2 linked regions of the Sus scrofa genome follow. Each later gene encodes a partner of the first gene's protein in a complex. Links are inferred from orthologs where the notes say so. Each region holds a gene or a part of one and is shown in the gene's direction. Other genes may lie near its edges. The genes, in order: STAP1 and LAT2.

Region 1 (4,433 bases):
TGCTGGACCACAAAAAAGAATGAAATCTTGCCATTTCTAACAGCATGGATGGACTTAGAGGGTATTAGGCTTTGTGAAATAGTGAAACAAAGAAAGACAAATGCTGTATGATTTCACTTATATGTGGAATCTAAAAAACAAAACAAAAAAACAAACTTAACAGAAACAGTTATAGAGAGAACAAACAGGAAGTTCCCAGATGGGAGGGGTGTGGCAGGAGGGGAGAAATTGGTGAGGAAGATTAAGAGATACAAATTTTCATTTGCAAAATAAATGAATCACAGGTATGAAATGTACAGTGTAATGAATATAGTCAATAAATACATAATAAAATACATTACCTATTGAATAAATTTATTAATCAATAATTTCAAGGAGTTCCCATCATGGCACAGCAGAAACAAATCTGACTAGGCAGTATGAGGTTGCAGGTTCAATCCCTGGCCTCACTCAATGGGTTAAGGATCCGGCGTTGCCGTGAGCTGTAGTATAGGTCGCAGATGGGGCTTGGATGTGACGTTGCTGTGGTTCTGGTGTATGCCAGCAGCTGTAGCTCTGATTAGATCCCTAGCCTGGAAACCTCCATATGCCACAGGTGCACCCCTAAAAAGACAAAAGGACAAAAAAAAAGAGCTTCAAGAGCTGAGCAAATAGATTTTTTTAACTTGTAATGCTTTAACAAATGTCATCGCCTACTCAGTTTTTTTTTTTTTTTTTTTTTTTAGGGAAGAGGGATTAAAAGTTAACTTTGAAATCAGGCAACCCTGGCTTCCACTCTACTCCACTAATATAAAGGGCAGGTTAATTAAACTATAACTTTCTCGATTCTCTTGTTTTTAAAAGGGGAATAACATTAAAGTTGTTGAGATATGGATTAATTCCTTTTAAGACCTAGTAGAAATGCCTAGAACATAGCAAGAATTCAATAAATAATGCTATGAGTGTTATTATGGAGATTTTTAGACTTGACCTAGTAGAAGTTTTGTAAACTGTGCTACATTATATAATTTGGTCTCAGATTTGGAATAGATAACACACACTACCATTTATTGAGCACATAGTGTACAGCAAGTTCTACCCTAAATACTCTCCATGCAGTAACCTATTTAATTTTTAGAACATTCCTATGAGAAAACATTTTATAGACAACAGAACTGGGACAGACTGTAAGTAACTTGCCCAAGATCACACCCCCATTAAATGACAGAGCTGGGGGTGAACCCCTGGATTCTGACTCCAGAACTGAGCACTAAATCACTGTACTCTTTTTACCTTTCCATGAGAACTTTTAGCAAGTGCAATCACAGAAGTAAAGTTCCATATGTACAATCATCTTCCCTCCATTACTGGAAATAGTAATTCTCAGAGGCATTTTGAGGAACCTGAAATGTGATGACATATACTGGTATGCAATGCAGGGGGTGTTGGCAATGAACTGGTTTGTTCTAGGGAGAAAATGGAGCAGCACCCTTATGAAAACAAAAAGTTACGGAGAGTCCGCATCACCCCAAATTTTCAGTGCTCTCTGCATCTGTCGTAATACTTCATAGCTCCACCACATTTTTGGCATCCTAAAATAAGGTTGCTAGTTGATGGAGTAATGTTTATAAAACCCAGACTTTGTCCTTACAGATCCCTTTACATCCAAAATACATCAAGATCAATCTTAATGAACTGCTATGACAGTTGACTTGCACCTAGGTAAGTGGTATGTGTGTGTTTATGTATTTATGAATTATGTGTATTAGTGTGTATATGGAGGAAAAGGTATACAGAAATTTAACTTGAAAAAGAAGTAGAAACTTTTAGTTATTTATGATTTTATGTTGTAGATAATTTCAAATTTGTGATTAGTAAAATTCTATTAAAGAACATTTTATTTTATTTTATTTTTTAAATTAATTTAATTTTATTTTTTAAATTAATTTTATTTATTTATTTATTTTGTGTGTGTGTGTGTGTGTGTGTGTGTGTGCTTTTGCCATTTCTTGGGCCACTCCCGCAGCACATGGAGGTTTCCAGGCTAGGGGTCGAATCATAGCTGCAGCTGCCGGCCTATGCCAGAGCCACAGCAACAAGGGATCCGCCGGATCCTTAACCCACTGACAGGAACTCCTCTATTAAAGAACATTTTAGACCTTACCATGACATTTCAAAAATCAGTCTGGGGGTTCCTGTCATGGCACAGTGGTTAACGAATCCGACTAGGAACCATGAGGTTTTGGGTTTGATCCCTGGCCTAGGTCAGTGGGTTAAGGATCCTCCATTGCCGTGAACTGCGGTGTAGGCCGCAGACAAGGCTCACATCCAGAGCTGCTGTGGCTCTGGCGTAGGCCAGTGGCTACAGCTCTGATTAGGCCCCTAGCCTGGAAACCTCCATATGCCTCGAATGCGGCCCCAGAAAAGACAAAAAGACAAAAAAATAAAAAATAAATAAAAAATCAATCTGTAGAGTTTCCTTGTGACTCAGCAGGTTAAGAATCCAGCATTATCACTGCAGTGGTTTGGGTCACTTAGTGGCATGGGTTCCACCCCTGGCCCAGGAACATTTACATGCCCTGAGCGCAGCCAAAAATAAATAAATAAATAAATAAATAAATTTGTTCTAGAGATTATAACATAGCTGCAGTCACAACTTAAAGTTTGCTTTATTTCTAATTGACTTAATCTGGCAATATGTCCATCAACTGGTGAATGAATAAATAAGTCATAGTGGGCCCACACTATGGAATACTCCTCAGCAACAAAAACAAATTACTGACACACAACAACACAGATGAACCTCAAAAGTTTCATCTGAAAGAAGCCAGACATCAAAGGCTATCTGCTGTAGCAGTGCACGTATGTGACTACATAAAACTGTAAGAACAGAAAGAGATATTGTTTACCAGGGCATGAGGCCAGATGAGGAAGAAGATATTGACTCCAAAGAGCCAGGAGGGAACTTTTTGCAGTGATGGAAATAATTTATGCCTTGATGATGATGGTGGTTATATGACTCCATGTATTTGTCAAAACTCTTAGAACTGTGCCCCTAAAAAAAGGGTGACCTTTGCTGTAAATTATACCTCAATAAACTTGACTTGAGAAATTAAGAGCAAGAGAGGGAAACACATAAACCAAATGCAATGTGTGAATTTTGACCAGAGTCTGGTTCAGATCAAAGAAGCTATATGGGTTGGGTAATTTGCTCTAGGAAACCAGCACCATGGTGTCCAGCTGCAAGATTGGCTATCCACCCTCAAAAGCAACCTGGCCAGTTTAGGAGCCAAATGCCCTGGATTGCTGGACTCTGGGGCCAGTTATCTGCACCTGGAGGTAATGGACAGGATTTTGTTCCCAGCATCACCTTTGGTCACACTGTGGTGCAAAGCTCTGATACAAAGCTCTGAAGGCATCTTGGCCAGGACCATTTCTCTGACATGCACATGATGGTATCCAGGCCAGAACACTGGGTAAAGCCAATGGCTGTAGCAGGCACCAGTCAATACATGTTTCATCTTGAGTCTACTGAGGACCTTGGGGCTTTGATTAAAGACATTCAGGAGAATGGAAGGAAGGTTGGCCTTGCTACCAAACCAGGAACTACACTTGAGTATTTCGCACCTTGGTTATGACAGTGGAACCTGGGTTTGGAGGGCAGAAATTCATGGAAGATATGATGGCAAAGTTTCACTTTGAGGACCCAATTCCTGTCTTCGGACATAGCGGTTGATGAGGAAGTAGGTCCTGACACCACCCATAAGTGAGCTGAGGCAGGAGCTAAAATGACGGTGTCTGGCTGAGCCATAGTGAGGAGTGAAGACCCCAGATCTATGATCAACCTGTTAAGAAAGCTTTGCTCAGCAGGTAAACAGCTCAACATAGTATTCGAGAGGACTCAGGTTCATCTCTGGCCTCATTCAGTGAGTTAAGGATTCAGTGTTGATACAAGGTTCAGCAAAGTTTGCAGATATGTCTCAGATCCAGTGTTTCTGTGGCTATGGTGTAGGCTGGCAGCTGCAGCTCCGACTCGACCCCTAGCCTGGAAACTTCCATACGCCATAGGTGTGGCCCTAGGAAGGAAGGAAAATTTGTTCAGAAGCTGCTCAGAAACATGCTCTCCACTAATGAAACCTCTAGGAGTCCCAGGTTTCTGCTCATGAGATCTTTTTACTGGAAAATAAAAATACTGACTACCAAATCATACTACAATGAAGGCAGTGATGCTTTTCTGAGGAATATTCATTCCTATGACTAAAATATACAGAAGAATTCTCTTGTGGCACAGCATGTTAATGGTCCAGCACTGATACTGCATGCAGCACCTTGGGCTGCTGTAGTATAGGTTCGATCCTTGGCCCAGGAACTTCCACATGCAGCAGGTGTGTGGCAAATACATACATACATACATACATGCATACATTCAATATGCATAATGTTCCAAGAGGTTA
Region 2 (4,476 bases), on another chromosome or scaffold:
TAGTCTATGCCCTTGCCAAGGTGTCCCTGGAAAGTGTTGCCGTGGGCCTTACACGTTGCACTGCCCCATGTGGAACGAGGGAGGCAGCGTGCGTCACAGGTGCAGCTCTGCAATTCAGATAAGGTTGGCTTTAGTCCTTGTGTCACAGTTTGCCGTGGAGACAACTTCTGGCACTCTGCCCAGGGATCTCGGGTCCCTGCGCTACCCTTCTCTCCCACAGGGTGGCAGCAGAGGGCGCCCAGCCCCTGTGTTTCTGTTTCGGTTCTGGCAGGGCCTCCTGGGGGCACTTCCACTGCGGCTGGACTGCCTGGCCTGGTCTGGGACGTCCGGGCCACCCCAGGCTGGGGCTGAAAGCCCCGCCCCAGCCAAGACGGGCCCCAGAGCTCGGGAGCCCAGGCTCTGAGATGCCAGGCAGGTGGGGGTTGGGAGACCCTCATGGGGTGGCGTGCCACTAAGAGTTCAGTGGCCTTGGACAAGGTGTTTAGTGACACATAACAGGAGGCCCTGGAGAATGTGTGCTGCGTGTGGGGCACCCACCTCTCAGCACCGTTCTCACCTCTGAAGGAAGTGCCCAGGGGCTGGGCAGCAGGTGGAGAGCCTGGGGGCTGGGTCCTAACTGCCCTGCTTTCCCCCCACCCCGGCCCGGGCCTGCCGCCTGCCTGGGGCCAGCTCCACGCCTCCACGAGCCTCATCTGGAAAATGGGGGTGAGAAGGCTCCTGGGACTGAAGGAGGAGCCGGGATTGTCCTTCCTTCTATCCTCCAGCGTTGTCTCTTCACCTCAGTGGCCTCTCCATCCATCTCTCTTTGTCTCTGGCTGTTTTTTCTCTAGAGGGCCGCACCCACGGCATGTGGAAGTTCCCAGGCCAGGGGCCAGCTGGAGCTGCAGCTGCCGGCCTGCACCACAGCCACAGCAACGCCGGATCTGAGCCACATCTGCAGCCTACACCACAGCTTGTGGTAACGCTGGAACATTAACCCCCTGAGAGGGGCCAGGGTTTGAACCTGCATCCTCTTGGATACTAGTTGGGTTCTTAACCCCTTGAGCCACAATGGGAACTCCTCTGGCTCTTTGTTATTATTATTATTGTTTTTGTTTTTTGTTTTTTACCTTTTCTAGGGCCTCACCGGTGGCATATGGAGGTTTCCAGACTAGAGGTCCAACTGGAGCTGGAGCCGCCAGCCGACACCACAGCCACAGCAACGCGGGATCCTTAACCCACTGAGCGAGGCCAGGGATTGAACCCGCAACCCCGCGGTTCCTAGTCAGATTCGTTAACCACTGAGCCACGACGGGAACTCCTGGCTCTTTGTCATGTCTGGCCTGGCTTGCATCTCTCTGCGCCCATCCACCCATGTCCCATGGGTATGGGTGTGGACGTGTATTTCTGTGTTTCTGTGTTTTCAGCGTGTCTCTCTCCGTGTCTTCCCACTCTTTGTCCCTGCCTGTGCGTGATATGCAAGCAGCCCTATTTCATGCTCTTTCTCCCTGTCCCCCTCTGTCTCTTCCCCTCTGTGAGGCCTGTGTGTGTTGTGGTTGTGTGTGTGTATTTAGTGTGTGTTGTGTGTGTGTCCGTGCACGTCTCTCTCTCTGCCTGACTGCCTCCGTCTTGTTCTCTGTCTCTCTCTGTCTCCGCCTCCGTCTTGGTCTCTGTCTCTGTCTCTCTCTGTCTCTGCCTCTGTGAGAGCCGAGCCTGTCCGGCAGAGCAGCGGATGTGTGAGGGATGATTCAGTGGCTGACAGGAAGCCCGCCGCCTTGCCTGCTGCCCGCCAGTGTCTGTGGCGTTGGCATCGGCTCGGGCAGGTGTGTGGGCTCAGGATGAGGTGGCCGCAGTGAGGAGCGCCTGCTCTCAGGTAAGCCTTTCCCAGGGGTGCCTGGAGCCTGGCCCCAAGGCAGGGGTCCTGAGCTGTCCCCAGACACCCCACAGGGGATGGGAGTGGCCTCGCTGGCCGAGCAGGAGCACTTGGCTGCCGGCTGGGGGTGGGGGTGGGGGCTGGGAAGAAGCCAGGCCGCCCGGCACCCCCTGCCTTGGCCCCGGCACTGTCCTGGCACCCCTGGCTAGGGGGCCCTCACCCCAGACCCTGCAGCACTAGAGGTGCAGCTATTTCTGGGGCTCCGGCTACTCTCCTGCCCCCATTTTCCCCAGCCCAGCCCGCACAGCCCTGGGGAGCCCCAGGGCAGCCGCTCCCCGGGGCAGGCCTGTGAGCCTGAGTTTCTTCATCTGTATAATGGGACTGGAGCTGCCCTGCCACAGGGCTATGGGAGGTCGGGTGAGACGCTACAGACGGGCAGGCCCAGGTCCTGCCCTGGGCCAGGGAGAAGCGGCTGTCCCGGCCGTCCCGAGCCCCAGCCAGCTCGCTCCTGTGCGGCTGGAGGAACTACAGGCCCTGGGCTGCTCGTGGTGGCCGCTCTGTTCACCATCCCCCACCCCTGCCCCAGAACAAGGGCTGCCGTCCGGGCCCCTGCACCTGCCGCTGGAGCGTAAAGAGCCTCCATTGGAGTCCTCCTGGCCTCATCGGAAGGCCAAGGTCATTTGGGAAAATGGAGCAGAGCCCCGCGGATAAAGCCTTCTCAGGGCTTGGGCCGGACCTCTGGCTCCCCGCTTAGCCCCCAGAGCCTGCCCTTCGGCCCTAGGGGTCCCAGGTTCCCCTTCTCCAGCATGAGGAGGGCTGGGAGGCCGGGCAGGAGGGCCACCAAGGCGCCTTGGGGACGGGAGGTGGGTGCTGAGGCTCGCTCAGCCCAGCCCCGAGAGCTTTTCCGCCATCGGCTTGTTGCAAACCTTGTTCATATGAAAACTGCCCACTTCCCTTTCTGCTATTTTGGCCCCGCAGGCCACGGGCTGAGGGCCTCCCCTCCCCACCCCACCCAGCCCTGCCGGCCCCTAGGGGCCCTCCTGCGGCTGCGAGGCCTGGCTCTGCTGGGGCCCAGCCCCTCCGCCTCCCTGTCCCCCGCCCACCTGCTCTCAGACCTGGATGGGAAAGGAGGAAAGCGAACAGATTGATTCCGTCTGGGGGGCAGCCACAGAGGTTTTCCTCAAACGAGTGTCTTTTAAAAAATATTGTGTACATCTTTAAAACGTCCTGTAAGGAAGGATTCACGTAGCAGAGTGTAGGCCCGGGCGTCAGCCCACCCTGGGAGCGGATGCCGGCTCTGACCGCTCAGCTGTGTGACCTCAGAAGGAGTACTCACCTCTCTGGGCTTCCCTCTCCTCCCTCGGAAGGCAGGAGCTGGCGTCTCCGAGGTGATGCTCTGCCTGTCTTGGACAACTGGGGGGCTGGGCAAAGGCCACACTCTCTTCAGATCCCAGCCCCTCCCAGGGTCCCCGCACAACGCCCCCCGCCCCCGTGTTGGACAGTTGTTGAGGGGGCTTAGACCTGCAGATCTTGGGGACCAGGCAAGGCAGGTTTCAGGTAGGGTTGCCTCATACTGTTCACTGCAGGCCGTCCAGCCAGCTCTGGCCCCAACAGGCTGCGGCTGCCGCTTTCCATCCTTTGGGGACCGTGGTGCTGGCAAGTCATGGTGGTCCCAGCCAACTGTGCCCCACTAGCCTGCTCTAGCACCTGGCAGGCGTCAGTTCAGTGCTGGGCCTCACACGACCAACCTGAGGGTTGAAAGTCATTTCCCCGGTTTAACAGAGGGGCAACCGGAAGCCGGGGATGCTGGGCCAGAATTGGAAACCTTATGCCCCGCTCCCTTCCCTCACGCACGGCCAGGGGTAGAAATGGGCTTGGGCTGGGGGCACCCCGAAGTGTGCGTCTTGTCCCAGGCAAGGCGGCTTTCTGACGGGCGGGGTCCTCTGGGAGGGAGGGTGGCAGAGGTCAGCAGCCCAAGTCCTGGGGCCTCAACCCCCAGGACAAGGGTGTGGACTTGCTCTGGGGTCTTAAGCGAAATCCGGGAGTGGCCAGGGCTGGACCCTCCCCCTGGCTCTTGCAGGGAGCATCTGTGCGACAGCCTCTCCCCGTGTGTCTCTGCCTGAATCTCCTCGGGGGCAGAAAGTCTCTGTCTTGACCAAAGGATGGAAATGCCAAAGGTGGGAGCTCGAGGGACCCGTCCAAGCAGCTGGAAATAAGACACTGGGCAACGTCTCTTCTGAGCCAGGCCAGACATGCTCGTCCTCCCAACAATGGTTTGAGGAAACACAGGCTTGATCCCCATTTTATAGAGGAGGAAACTGAGGCCAAGAGACTCTGAGGCAGGGGCAGGGGTCCCCACTCCAAGGCCAGGTGCTCGCAACCTCACGCTCTGGCGGGGGCGGGGAGCAGACCCCCCAAGTCGAGGGAGGGAGGAGGGTGTGTGGGCTCAGAGGGCGGTGATCAGGCTCCGAGAGGAGGGGGGCCGAGATCCACTCGGCCACCATCCTGGGCTGACCAGGTCATCTTTCTCTCCTGTGGGGGCCGCCAGGTCACGAGGTTTGGAAATTCTCGTGTTCCAGCTGACTCATTCGGTGTTTGGGGGAAGGAGAGGTGGCTTCTCCATG

The links.
Region 2: the proteins of STAP1 (region 1) and LAT2 are in contact, whole or in part, in a crystal structure (PDB 3MAZ), measured with the Homo sapiens proteins. The link is inferred for Sus scrofa from reciprocal best matches to the Homo sapiens genes STAP1 and LAT2. Residues at the interface, in NP_001304698.1 of Homo sapiens: Arg184, Arg203, Pro204, Gly205, Ser206, Ser212, Ile215, Gln217, Ile219, Lys225, His226, Tyr227, Lys228, Glu239, Leu240, Glu241, Tyr255, Phe256, Glu259, Thr260, Arg261, Asn263, Leu264; in NP_054865.2 of Homo sapiens: Asn134, Ser135, Tyr136, Glu137, Asn138, Val139, Leu140, Ile141, Lys143.

The regions. Positions count from the first base shown.
Region 1 is NC_010450.4:65,317,386-65,321,818, forward strand, and holds the start of STAP1 (signal-transducing adaptor protein 1), read left to right. Parts: upstream 1-1,475; 5' UTR 1,476-1,701; intron 1,702-3,208; exon of another isoform or gene 3,209-3,914; intron 3,915-4,433. UniProt on the Homo sapiens protein: In BCR signaling, appears to function as a docking protein acting downstream of TEC and participates in a positive feedback loop by increasing the activity of TEC.
Region 2 is NC_010445.4:11,352,299-11,356,774, forward strand, and holds the start of LAT2 (linker for activation of T-cells family member 2 precursor), read left to right. Parts: upstream 1-1,574; 5' UTR 1,575-1,852; intron 1,853-3,932; exon of another isoform or gene 3,933-4,014; coding exon of another isoform or gene 4,015-4,029; exon of another isoform or gene 4,030-4,400; coding exon of another isoform or gene 4,401-4,476. UniProt on the Homo sapiens protein: Involved in FCER1 (high affinity immunoglobulin epsilon receptor)-mediated signaling in mast cells.